Sus scrofa: one gene and its partners. The main gene of each other region encodes a partner of the protein of the gene in region 2 in a complex. Links are inferred from orthologs where the notes say so. Each region holds a gene or a part of one and is shown on either strand. Other genes may lie near its edges. The genes, in order: STON2, EPS15 and AP2A2.

Region 1 (4,090 bases), on a different chromosome or scaffold from region 2:
TAGGGTCTTTTAACTTCTCTACCAAACTAAATTTCTCACTCATGGTTCTGTCAACAAAGGACAGTAGAACTAGGGGGAAACACCTGTAGGAACCCGGTTGCATACTTGCTGTCAAGAAGACATTACTGCAACCTAAGTCAAAGGTCCTAAAATAGAATCTGTACTGTTTTTTTCCTACTCATTGTCTGGATTTTTTTTGGGGGGGGGTCTTTTTATGAGTGGTAGAACAAAGTCCTAGGGGCATCCTAATTTATGGTGCTTGCTTTTATTCCTTAGAAAGATTCCGTGCAGGTGAGAGAAAATGTTGGGAGGCCTAAAGACTATGAAATGGAAGAAGAAATGGAAGATGGGATCAATTTTAATTCCCCACAATCCCTCTCCATTCTAACCTGTGCCCCTCCTTCACAATGTGAAGAGACTGAGTGTGTCTTCCAGGAGAAAATCTCCATATTCAGAGCTGACACCACGCGTCCACACGGGACACGTGGGTATCCTTATGACAGCTGTTTCCTGTGTTCCCGAATTAATACATGCAAAGTACTTGGAAAACTGGTAAATATTACGCGCCATGAAAACATTAGGGTTATTAATATTGTTGTTATTCAGCCTTATCTCCCTAGTTAGGCATAAATTCCTCATAAAACAACACTTGCCGTCTTTCTCGTTCTTAATAATTTATTAACGTGATTAGGACTTTGGATAAGTCGCTTACCCTTTGCAAGTTTTGGTTGGACCACAAAAGATCGTGTGTCAAGTACTATCTGAGTCTACAAATACAATTTGGCGCCCACTGTTTACAAGCCACTGCCCTGTGTCCTACGCCCTTTTTATAGTAAAAATATTAAATGAACGTGAAGTCAAAACCCTACGTAGGAGTGAGACGGGAGAAGCAATGATTTCCACGATCCAGCTTGGCACCGGGTGTGGGAGAGACTCCCAGACGATCCCCACTCCCTGCCATTGCCGTGCTACTCGCAGCGACGCTTTGCGCCCCGCTGGGTGCTGGACTCCACTCGCGCGGAGGAGCAGATCCCGGTCTCAGCGTCTGGATTCCGACCTCGGGGTTCAGCAGGGACACGAGGGTGCGGTGCAGGGTTGTCCAGAGCAGGTCCTGTCGGCTCCCGCCCCGCCTCACCGCCCAGGCTTCCTGCTGCCCAATCAGGGCGCGGCTCGGGCGTGATCTGCGACCAATCAGGAACGGCTGGAACGGTGCCGGGAGTCCGCGGGCGCAGAGCAAGCTCCGACTCCCGAGCCGGCGCGGGGCTGCCAGGAGCGCGGCTACAGCAGCGCAGCGGACGGGGAGCCTCGGACCAGCCCAGCTCGCTCTGCCGCGGCGACCTTCCAGCCGACGCTCGGGAAACAGCGGGCCGCGTCTCAGGTAACCTCGCCGGCGCCCCACAGGGGGAGGGCGAGCGTGCCCTGGGAGCGGGGCCCCGCAGGTGGAGCGGGCGGGGGTCGGGCCGGCCGCTAGGTCCTAGCGCCGCGGGTGCTGCCAGAGCCCCCAGAGCCCCGGGGCTAGCCTCGGCCGGAGCCCCCGGGAGACGCGTTTCCACCAGCCCCCGGCGTCCGGGTGTGAGAGGGAGCTAGGTGAGGCGGCGGGGGTGGATTGGGGAAGACAAGACACCTGCGACACCCGCACCCTTACACAGACTCTGCCTATGGGTGTCTTCCCTGAGAGCTGGGTCCCCGGCCGTCTTCATTGGCCCAAGTAGGGAGGCGACAACAGGTGTCCCTGCGGACCGTGCTTTTCTCCTCCACGCTCTGAGCCTGAAATCCCGGCTTTGGCGTTCTGCCCCACCTTCGGGGTGTTCGGAGACAGGACCCCAGCCTCGCCTCTCAGGCGCGCTGCCCGCTGGACAGCGCCCAGAGGCGTCTTGGACCCAGCGGACCCGGGCTTTGGATGGAGTTTCCTCCTCGCGTTGCCAAGCAATTTGCAGGACACCCGCCTCTCGATGAGACCATGAGAGTTTGTGTGGGGGCTGGGGGGTGGGGATGTGTGTAGGGGTGTGTGTGTGTGTGTGTGTGTGTGTTGCAGCCTCCACTAAAAGGGCTGTGAGTGAATCATTAACTGTGGCCTCTGCCTGTCTCTTAGGCAGGGCCTGACTCTTCTAATCTGTAAAGTGAGGGCAATGCTTTTACCTGCCTGATAGCGTTGTTTTGAGAATTAAATGAGCCAATGCTGAAAAACACTGAGGACGGTGCTAAATACTCAGTAAATGCTGGCTCTTACTATTTATTCTTCGGAGTGGATGGTCTTTTAAGAAGACATGTCCAAACTGGACCAGTGACTGTTTGGAGCTCTGAACAGCTTTTTACACTTAAAGCAATATTAATGTTACTGGGCGGTATCATTTAAAGGTACAAAATCCTGGGGATTTTGAGGGATTAAAAAAAAAAAAACTGCTTCATTGGAATGGTGAGAGAGATAAATGGATTCCAATAGAAACTGAGAAAACTCTGTAGCCCTTGAGAAAATTGGTATGAATATTATGTAAAAAGTATATCATGGTGCTTTATTGAATCTCACTAGTGTGGCTGATTTGGGGGTAAATTTTGAAGGTTCTTATAACTCCTACTCCTCCCTTAAACAAGTAGAGAGTGGAGAACAAGGGAGAGAGAGAGAGAAAGAAGAAAAACAAAAAGTCCCACCACAAAACAAAATACAGGCAGCTCATAGAAACCTAAAATTGCAGTTGCCACTTCAGGTGATTTTTTTTCCTGTTTCTGACCCGGGTGGTCTGGTTCAGTTCTTTGTCACCGTGTCACTTAATTGAAGAGTTAAGTAAACGCTTAGCCCCAAGAATTTGTCTTTTGAAAATCTAGAATATCATTAAGTATCAGACTTGCTTGGATTTCTGAGCCCTCTGCTACTTGCTTCCTACCCCCTATCAAGCCCCAAAGGACCTTCCCAAAGATTCTCAAGAGTAATGTTAGTGGGGAACCACCTGTCTCCCACCACATTACCTCCATAGCCTGGGACCTGGGGAAAGGGCACAGGCAGAATGTCCTGGTTCTCCTAGGGTCTCCAGCACACTTGCCAGAGCCTTAAAATAAATACTTGCCCTTAGAGAAAGTGATTATCATCTCAGAGGGAAAGAAGCGCACTTCCAGATGCAAATCTTTCAAGTGTCAAATTAATTCGCCAGCCCTTTCAGTTGTTGATAAGGAGACCTACTCTTTCCACCTGAGTGGGAGGAGCTGAAGCTTGACGGTGGAGGAGGGAGAGAGCCACGTGTGGCAGGGGAAAGACTGCTGAGTTCAGAGCCAGACCCGCACCTGGTGAGAACTCTCTCTCAGTAACTGATGGCTGGGAAACTTGGACAAGTTGCTTTGCTTTTCTGAGCCAGAGTCTCTCACGTTGTAAAATGAGGACTCAGATTTTTTTTGGAGAAGTTGTTCCAAGGAGGGCGCTAATGGATAGGAAGGCTCTAGCACCTTTCCAAGGATGTAGGTATAGATCTGTAGCATACAGAGGAGGTCTTACAAGGTGAGAGTGACCACTTACACCTGGGAAAGAAAGTAGGGCTTGACGGAGGGCATGCAGCTGAGCTGAGAGTAGAATGATGAGCAGTTCTCTCATGTAGACCCAGTTGAGGTGGGATTGGAAGGAAGAGTAGAGCAGAGGGGGGAGAATTCCAAACAGAGAGAATATGAGATATCAGAAGTGTTGTAATAGTCATCTTAAGCAAAATAAACAGACATCCCTTAAATCTCAGTGGCTTTCAACCACCAAGAGTTATTTCTCACACATGCTGCATGTCCAGTGTAGGTCACTCTTGGTTCTGCTTATCTGACTCCATTTGGGGACCCATTATGGCTTAAGAAACAGCCTCTTTCTGGGACAATATTCATCTTGTTTATGGGAAAGGGAAAAAAGAGAACATAACAGAACAAAACTATTATGGCACTTAACATCTGCTTGGAACTGGCAGATGTCACTAGCTCTCATGTTTTTGGCCAAGGTGAGTCATGTGGCCAAAGCTGATGTCAGCGGTATGGGAAAGTATAAGCCTCCTGCAGAAGTGAGGCATGGCTGATTAGGAGGGAAAGTGCAGATGAAAACAAGGCCAGGGAGGTGTCCCAGAGGCAG
Region 2 (3,645 bases):
CAAACAAATGAACAGCTTCATGAGTGGTACAAATACAAAGAAAAGAAGGAAAAAGAGGCTTCACAAAAGGACACTTAACTCCTTGTTTCACCTAAAGGACTCTGGAAATAGTCTTGCTACTTGCTAATTTTTTTTTTCTGGAAACATGTTTAATTAGTTACTAAAATATGATTTAATTTTAAAAATTAATGCAGTCTACAGACAGTGAGTCTATAAAACTAAATATTAAAACATCATTTTAAAACATAGACGTTCTTAAGGTGGATTAGGAGATTTAAAAAGAGGAGAGGGCTGCCATTTTAATCTGACATAAAATAGTTACTATTTCCACTTCGGCGAGCATCTTCACATGATAAATCATCTTCAACTTAATCCCACTGGTGATTTCCTACCTCACCCCAGCCCTTCAGGTACAAAAAACTATGAAGCAAAGAATATGCTATACATAAATTTTGCTATATGCAAAATAAGAGGACTACGTATACTAAACAAGATGTGGATCTAATCATCTTAAAAAATGTATTATAAAGATTTTGGCTGGCTATTGAAAACTCTTTGACCCCGTCTAAATAAAATCATAATGCTGATAATTATTAGGTCAAGGAAATATTTTTATTCATCCAAAACAGCAATCATGGCAGATTCTAACTTAAATGCTACTTGGTTTCAAGTCCTCTCAGATAAAAGAAAACTGTAATAGCATTAGTACTATAAAATGAAATGAAAGAAACTGTCAGGCTTTTTGAAAATGGTAGCTTTTTCCCTAGTTACCATTCCCTAATTCTAGGGCATTAGATGGCCTATGAAACTTATAACACTTAACAAATCTTTCATAATGAAAAAATGAAGATACTTTATTATGAGCTGCTTAATGCTATACTACATTGAGATTCTGGAGTATGAAATAAGCAAAATGCCTTAGCTATTATTCAAGACTCATTCCAACCATATTTAATAGTTAAGATATTAATATCACACAAATACCAGAAGGTTTTTTTTTTTTTTTTAAGAGGATTATACTAAGAGTAGCAATTCTGGATACTCTGCTTATAACAATTTAAATTCCATCTAACAAATGTTAAATCATTATAATTCCAACACTTCATTTTCCAATAGTCAAAATACTGATTCCTAGCCTGTTCCTTCATGTTCAAAAGAAGCCACTGAAACTTAAGAGTTCAGATTCAAAAGCTGGATAGTCCAGCCTAGTTCTGTCTGCCTTAGCTGCATGCAGATTCCTGCCTACCTCCTTTCTAACTAGAAATGGTTGCAGGTTGGGTGACCCAATGCTGCGAAGGGGGAGGCATTAGGCAGACTGTGGTCAAGAGTCACCTGGCCTTGAGATCTCTTATTTCCAAAATCATCTCAAGGGCTTAAGGTGTTAAGCAGAGGAAAATGGCTTTGTTATAGAGAGTGATAATGAAGGTTATTTTCCCTGAAAAACATCTGGGAAAGTGAAAGTTACTCTAAGAATAGTATTAAAAAGAAAAAATTTTGTTTTTTAATCTAAACAGTGATGGAATACAGGTCATTGCTTAATACGGACTGACACCACAGTTGGTTCCCCCATTTCTGTGATCTTAGAGGCCTATGCCCTTATCAGAGCATCCTTTCATTATTTTTACTGGTCTGCCTATTTTAGTCAGCTCTGGGAGGATGAAGAATAAATACGGAAGGCTAGTAAGTAAGTGCCCTTCAAATAAAAGACTGTTTAGACCTTGACTATCATATTTATTTAAATAAAACCAACATTTACTTTTTAAAAACACTATTACATGAAACCAGAATTTTACTTTCTGTTCAAAGTATTCCTGGTCCTATCTCCTCATATAATAAAAGCTGCTGACTGGTTTCCACAAATCATCAAGGCTTCACACATAAACACACATACATGGTTACAAATACACAAACTCATTATTGCTATTATGCATCCAGAGGGCATACAGCAAATGACTCTTTAATGGTTCATTATCCATAATAATTTGCTAAATGGTAATTGTCAGAATTTTATTTATATTGTTTACCAAGACTAAGAGAAGGGTTTTATAAAATAACTGGAATATATTCCAGGAATTAAGACTATTAAAATCATTTGTGCAGAGAAGTATTTTTAGAATAATCAAACAGGTTTTTTTTTTTTTTGATTGGGGGAAGAATACAGATTATTTTTAATATGCTGGTAAATTTAGCTGAAATAATGCAAATTTGGTAGATTCCAGAATAATCTCTGAAAACTCTTCGAACTGAAAATGGAAAGATTTTTCCCCAATCAGCCCATTTGCAGTACTTACAGCACTGAAGTTAGCAAAATTGCTTGGGTCAGCCTCTTTATTGGTAGTGCCAGTAGTAGGAGAAGCAGTGAATGGATCGCAAAACATATCAGGATCTTTTTCTTTGGGGCTATCATTGCCTGGGAAAGGCTGAAATGGATCATTCAGTTTAAAGGAATCAGAAGAATCCAATTTGTTGATGGGTCTTTTCCCTGGATCAAAATCATTACAATTAACTCAACCGGAAAATACGGCAAACACAAACACACAAGAACATGAACACAGGGAGCATTAAAGAACTAGGGGTGGGGAATGGAATCAGTACCTAATAACTAAAAAACTTTTTTTTTTTTTTTTTGGCTGCACCTGTGGCATGTAGACGTTCTGGAGCCAGGGACTGAACCCAAGCCACGGCAGTGACAATGCCAAGTCCTTAATCACTAGGCTACCAGGGAACTCCCTGAAACATATTCTTAATATGGTCTTAAATGGCCACAACCAAGAGTCTGTCCTCAAAATTGTCACAGACAACCTGGTACATTCTTTCCAGCTCATGTAGCTAAATGGAAAAAATAGTAAAGGGGGAGGCAATGGGCCAGTAATCTTACTTGCCCAGAGAGTTATCCTTCTCGTTCACAAAGTAGCATGTTCCCAAGGAGAGTGAGAGGAGAGGATAAAACAAGAGGAAAATGACAGAGAATAATGACAGAAATGGCCTCTGCCATTACAACCTTTGCCTGACACAGGTATCCTTTAGTGGTACTAAGGCCAAATGATCTTTTTAAAAAATGCCACTATTCTTCTGATTTTTCTCTGGATCTATATGCAACACTTGGGAGCATGATATTAAAAACCACCCTGGCAAAATACACCTACTTCTTGCTATCTAGAATATTTCAAACTGAAGAATACACTTGATCTTAGCCAAAAGGCTGAGAAGCAATCATACTGAAGAATAAAGAGAATGTTTGGAAGCCCAGGGCCTAAATCTTGGTAGTTGTCGATAAACTAATCTTTGACCAAACAACAACATACTGTTGCTCATGAATTCATCACCATTTTCAAACAACGTTTCTAATTTTAAAGACTTAAACTTAGTACTTCTGAAGAAAGGATAGTAAGAAAAGGTGTTAAGATATACTCAAATCTTTTTTTTTTCCCTTCTTTTTTTCTCTTTGCCTTTTCTAGGGCCACTTCCCGTGGCACATGGAGGTTCCCAGGCTAGGAGTCTAATCGGATCTGTAGCCGCTGGCCTACGCCAGAGGCGCAGCGATGCCAGATCTGAGCTGCTGTCTGCAACCTACACCACAGTTCACGGCAATGGTGGATCCTTAACCCACTGAGCAAGGCCAGAGATCGAACCCGCAACCTATGG
Region 3 (3,536 bases), on a different chromosome or scaffold from region 2:
TCCTCCCTAGGGTGTGGTCGGCGGGGGCTGCAGGGAGCCTGTGGGGGCGGGGGCGAGAGGGCGCCTAGGGTCCGGGGCGCCTCCTTCCAGGCCCAGTGCTTCCAGGTGAGACACCGAGGGGCCCACCCTGCGGGGCCGGGGGCTGGGGCAGGCGCAGGCCCGTGGGCAGCGGCCGGTCGGCTGCCCCGGGGCCAGCGCCTTGTCTGCGCACGCCTACGTGGTTGCCCTTCAAGCCTGCATGCTGTTTAGATGATTTTTTTTTTTTTGTCTTTTTGCCATTTTTAGGGCCGCTCCCGTGGCATATGGAGGTTCCCAGGCTAGGAGTTGAATCGGAGCTGTAGCTGCCGGCCTACGCCAGAGCCACAGCAACGCGGGATCCGAGCCGCGTCTGCGACCTACACCACAGCTCACAGCTTATGGCCACGCCGGATCCTTAACCCACTGAGCGAGGGCAGGGACCGAACCTGTAACCTCATGGTTCCTGGTCGGATTCGTTAACCACTGCGCCACGACGGGAACTCCTAGATGATTTTTTGTAGCTTGTCTGGTCCTGTCCTTTTTCTTTCTTGTTCTTTTTAGAGCCGCACCCACGGCACATGGAGGTTCCCAGGCTAGGGGTCCGATTGGAGCTGCGACTGCCGGCCTGCGCCACAGCCACAGCAACACGGGATCTGAGCCTCATCTGTGACATGCACCTCAGCTTCCGGCCACGCCGGATCCTTAACCCACTGAGTGAGGCCAGGGATCGAAGCTGCATACTGAGGGAGACAGCATCAGGTTCTTAACCCCTGAGCCACAACGGGAGCTCCGTGTTCTTGTCATGTAAGTGACGGCAGGAGAGTGTGTGAACAGCCTTCCCAGTTGGACGTTTGTAAGGTTTTGTGGGAAAGCATGTTCTCAAGCGTTACTACATAGCGACCTGAAGTTCACGCCCTAAACGCACAGCAATGAGAAGCTAGTGTGCTTGGCATAGTTCAGGGGACGAGGCGGGTGAGGCCTGTGTTTTATCCTGTAGTCTTACTCTTTTCTTATTTATTTTATTTTTTTTTGTCTTTTTGCGTTTTCTTGGGCCGCTCCCGCGGCATATGGAGGCTCCCAGGCTAGGGGTTGAATTGGAGCCATAGCCGTTGGCCTACACCAGAGCCACAGCCACACGGGATCCGAGCTGCGTCTGTGACCTGTACCACAGCTCACGGCAACGCTGCAGACTTAACCCACTGAGCAAGGCCAGGGATCGAACCCGCAACCTCATGGTTCCTAGTCGGGTTCGTTAACCACTGCGCCACGACGGGAACTCCTCAGACTCTTTTCTTGAGTCTTTTCCTGGGAAGAAGAAACCCACACCGCTTCAGCCGACGAGGAGCTGCCGGGTGTGCGCTGCCGGGGACGGGGAAGAGGTGGCGCTGTCCGCGGTCGGCGGGACGTCCCCGGGGCTCGGGGCGCCCTCCCAGAGCTCTCGGCCCTTGGTGCCCTGGGGGGGGGTGGGCGCTGCGGCCTGGAGGCTCCTGCGGCCACCTGCTCTCTGCATCTTGTCTCTTCGCTGCTCGCAGGTACGGGGGAACCTTTCAGAACGTGTCCGTTAAGCTGCCAATCACACTCAACAAATTTTTCCAGCCCACAGAGATGGCTTCTCAGGATTTCTTCCAACGTTGGAAGCAGCTGAGCAGGTGAGCGGCCGGCCCGTCCCCGGGCGGGTGGGGGGCCTCTGGGTCTCGGCCTCAGCTGGCGGCGCGGCCTCTGTCCCTCGCAGTCCCCAGCAGGAGGTGCAGAGCATCTTCCGAGCGAAGCACCCGATGGACACGGAGGTCACCAAAGCCAAGGTAGCGCCTCGCTGCGGACGGGCGGGGTCGGGCCCGGCCGGGGCCCTGCGGCTGCCGCCAGCTCCCCTCTGACCCTCAACTCTGCGCACAGATTATTGGCTTTGGCTCTGCACTCCTGGAGGACGTGGATCCGAACCCTGCAAACTTTGTGGGTGCAGGCATCATACACACCAAAACCAGCCAGATTGGGTGCCTGCTGCGTTTGGAGCCAAATCTGCAAGCCCAGGTTAAGCCCCTTGAGGAAACTGCTAAGTACACCCCAGTCGTTGTGCTTTGTTGTTGTTTTGGTTTGGGTTTTTTTGGTCTTTTTAGGGCCACAGCTGCGGCATCTGGAGGTCCCCAGGCGAGGGGTCGCATCGGAGCTACAGCTGCCGGCCTCCACCACAGCCACAACCACGCCAGGTCCGAGCCGCGTCTGTGACAACACCACAGCTCACGGCAACGCCGGGTCCTTAGCGCCCTGGGCGAGGCTAGGCATTGAACCCATGTCCTCCTGGATCCTAGTCGGGCTCGTTACCCCTGAGCCACGATGAGAACTCTGGATGCGTGTGGTCGTTTCACGGGAAGCCGCTGCGTTGCTTCCCAGCCAGGGCGCTGCCGCACAGCCCACCAGGCGTACGCGGAGGTCGGGTTGGTACACATGTGCCCAGGCCCTTGTTGTCCAGCCTGTAAACCAGCTCCCCAAAGCCAGCGTGGTGCCGCGTGGAACCAGGGCGTCTTCAGGCTGGCTGAGCAGGGGCTCTGAGGGCTCTGTTGCCCTGACCCGCCGTGCCCTCTGTTTCAGATGTACCGACTCACGCTGAGGACGAGCAGAGAGACGGTCTCGCAGAGGCTGTGCGAACTGCTCTCAGAACAGTTTTAATCAGCGAGGACAGAGGGTCGGGCCGGCTCTGCATTTTTCTTTGTCTCCACCCCGTCTTCGTGCTGCGAGTAAACACCTCGTCTAGTGTCGCAGCCCAGGCCCTCCCCGCTGCCGCGGCCCGTCCCCGACGGGGCGGGTGGGATCCTGTGCGGTTGACGAAGAGACCCCTCGGCCTGGACTCAGCCGGCTGCCAGCCAGGACGAGGGGCACGGATCCTGGGGTGGACTTTGATGGAAATCAGGACAGTTCTGGGGTTAAATCTACAAATTAAAGGGAAATTAGAAGTTTGAAAATGAGAATTTTGGAAGTTTTATTGAGGTGCTGCTGCTGTCCTGCTGAGAATTCATCTCTGAAGCCCTGAGCAGAGAGGCGGGCGCTCTGTCTGTGCTGGGCGGCGCCCGCCGGGTGTGGGAGACGTGGGAGAAGGGGCGGGGCTGCCGGGTCCACGTGCGGCCCAGGCCTTGTCCTCCGGGCTCTGGGGGTGAGCACAGTGCCGGGGCCTTGGGGGCCGAGGTCTGAACCCAGGCGTTCGCCCCACGCGCGTCTTCGAGGGCTGTCGAGGAGAGCGTGTGGCCTGGCTGGGTGGGACCCCGCCTCCTTTTCCCAGCACCCGCCCCCTAGAGGGGGGTTGTGCAACCGTCCGAGCCCCTTCATGTGCAGTGGGGAGGGGTCCTGGTGGCTCCAGACCACGTGTGTACCTAACCTCACGCTTCTCTGAGTCTCAGGCCCAGGACGGGCGCCGGTTAGTGACGGCGGGGCTCGCCGTGGGCCAGCGGAGCGGCTCCTCAAGCCGAGCCGGTCTCTTCCCTGTGCAGCGGCCTCACATGTGGGAGTCCCCGCTGCAGGCTGCGGAG

The links.
Region 1: the proteins of EPS15 (region 2) and STON2 are in contact, whole or in part, in an NMR structure (PDB 2JXC), measured with the Homo sapiens proteins. The link is inferred for Sus scrofa from reciprocal best matches to the Homo sapiens genes EPS15 and STON2. Residues at the interface, in NP_001972.1 of Homo sapiens: Leu139, Gly148, Lys152, Pro153, Val154, Leu155, Leu156, Asn157, Ser158, Lys159, Val162, Asp163, Leu165, Gly166, Arg167, Trp169, Glu170, His176, Gly178, Met189, Val192, Tyr193, Leu196, Glu197, Lys198; in NP_001353779.1 of Homo sapiens: Trp309, Arg310, Ala311, Thr312, Asn313, Pro314, Phe315, Glu318, Gln321, Asp322, Gln324, Pro325, Ser326, Ile328, Asn329, Pro330, Phe331, Phe334, Phe335, Glu337, Gln338, Glu339, Arg340.
Region 3: the proteins of EPS15 (region 2) and AP2A2 are in contact, whole or in part, in a crystal structure (PDB 1KYU), measured with the Mus musculus proteins. The link is inferred for Sus scrofa from reciprocal best matches to the Homo sapiens genes EPS15 and AP2A2. Residues at the interface, in NP_031969.1 of Mus musculus: Asp629, Pro630, Phe631, Lys632; in XP_006536218.1 of Mus musculus: Phe442, Phe443, Trp446, Lys447, Asp487, Pro488, Val494, Arg511.

What each region holds. Positions count from the first base shown.
Region 1 is NC_010449.5:104,186,857-104,190,946, reverse strand, and holds the start of STON2 (stonin-2), read left to right. Parts: upstream 1-1,211; 5' UTR 1,212-1,378; intron 1,379-4,090. UniProt on the Homo sapiens protein: Adapter protein involved in endocytic machinery. Involved in the synaptic vesicle recycling. May facilitate clathrin-coated vesicle uncoating.
Region 2 is NC_010448.4:160,786,243-160,789,887, reverse strand, and holds part of EPS15 (epidermal growth factor receptor substrate 15), read right to left. Parts: intron 2,483-3,645; coding exon 2,292-2,482; intron 1-2,291. UniProt on the Homo sapiens protein: Involved in cell growth regulation. May be involved in the regulation of mitogenic signals and control of cell proliferation. Involved in the internalization of ligand-inducible receptors of the receptor tyrosine kinase (RTK) type, in particular EGFR.
Region 3 is NC_010444.4:625,118-628,653, forward strand, and holds the end of AP2A2 (AP-2 complex subunit alpha-2), read left to right. Parts: intron 1-1,550; coding exon 1,551-1,667; intron 1,668-1,750; coding exon 1,751-1,820; intron 1,821-1,911; coding exon 1,912-2,046; intron 2,047-2,604; coding exon 2,605-2,682; 3' UTR 2,683-2,981; downstream 2,982-3,536. UniProt on the Homo sapiens protein: Component of the adaptor protein complex 2 (AP-2). Adaptor protein complexes function in protein transport via transport vesicles in different membrane traffic pathways.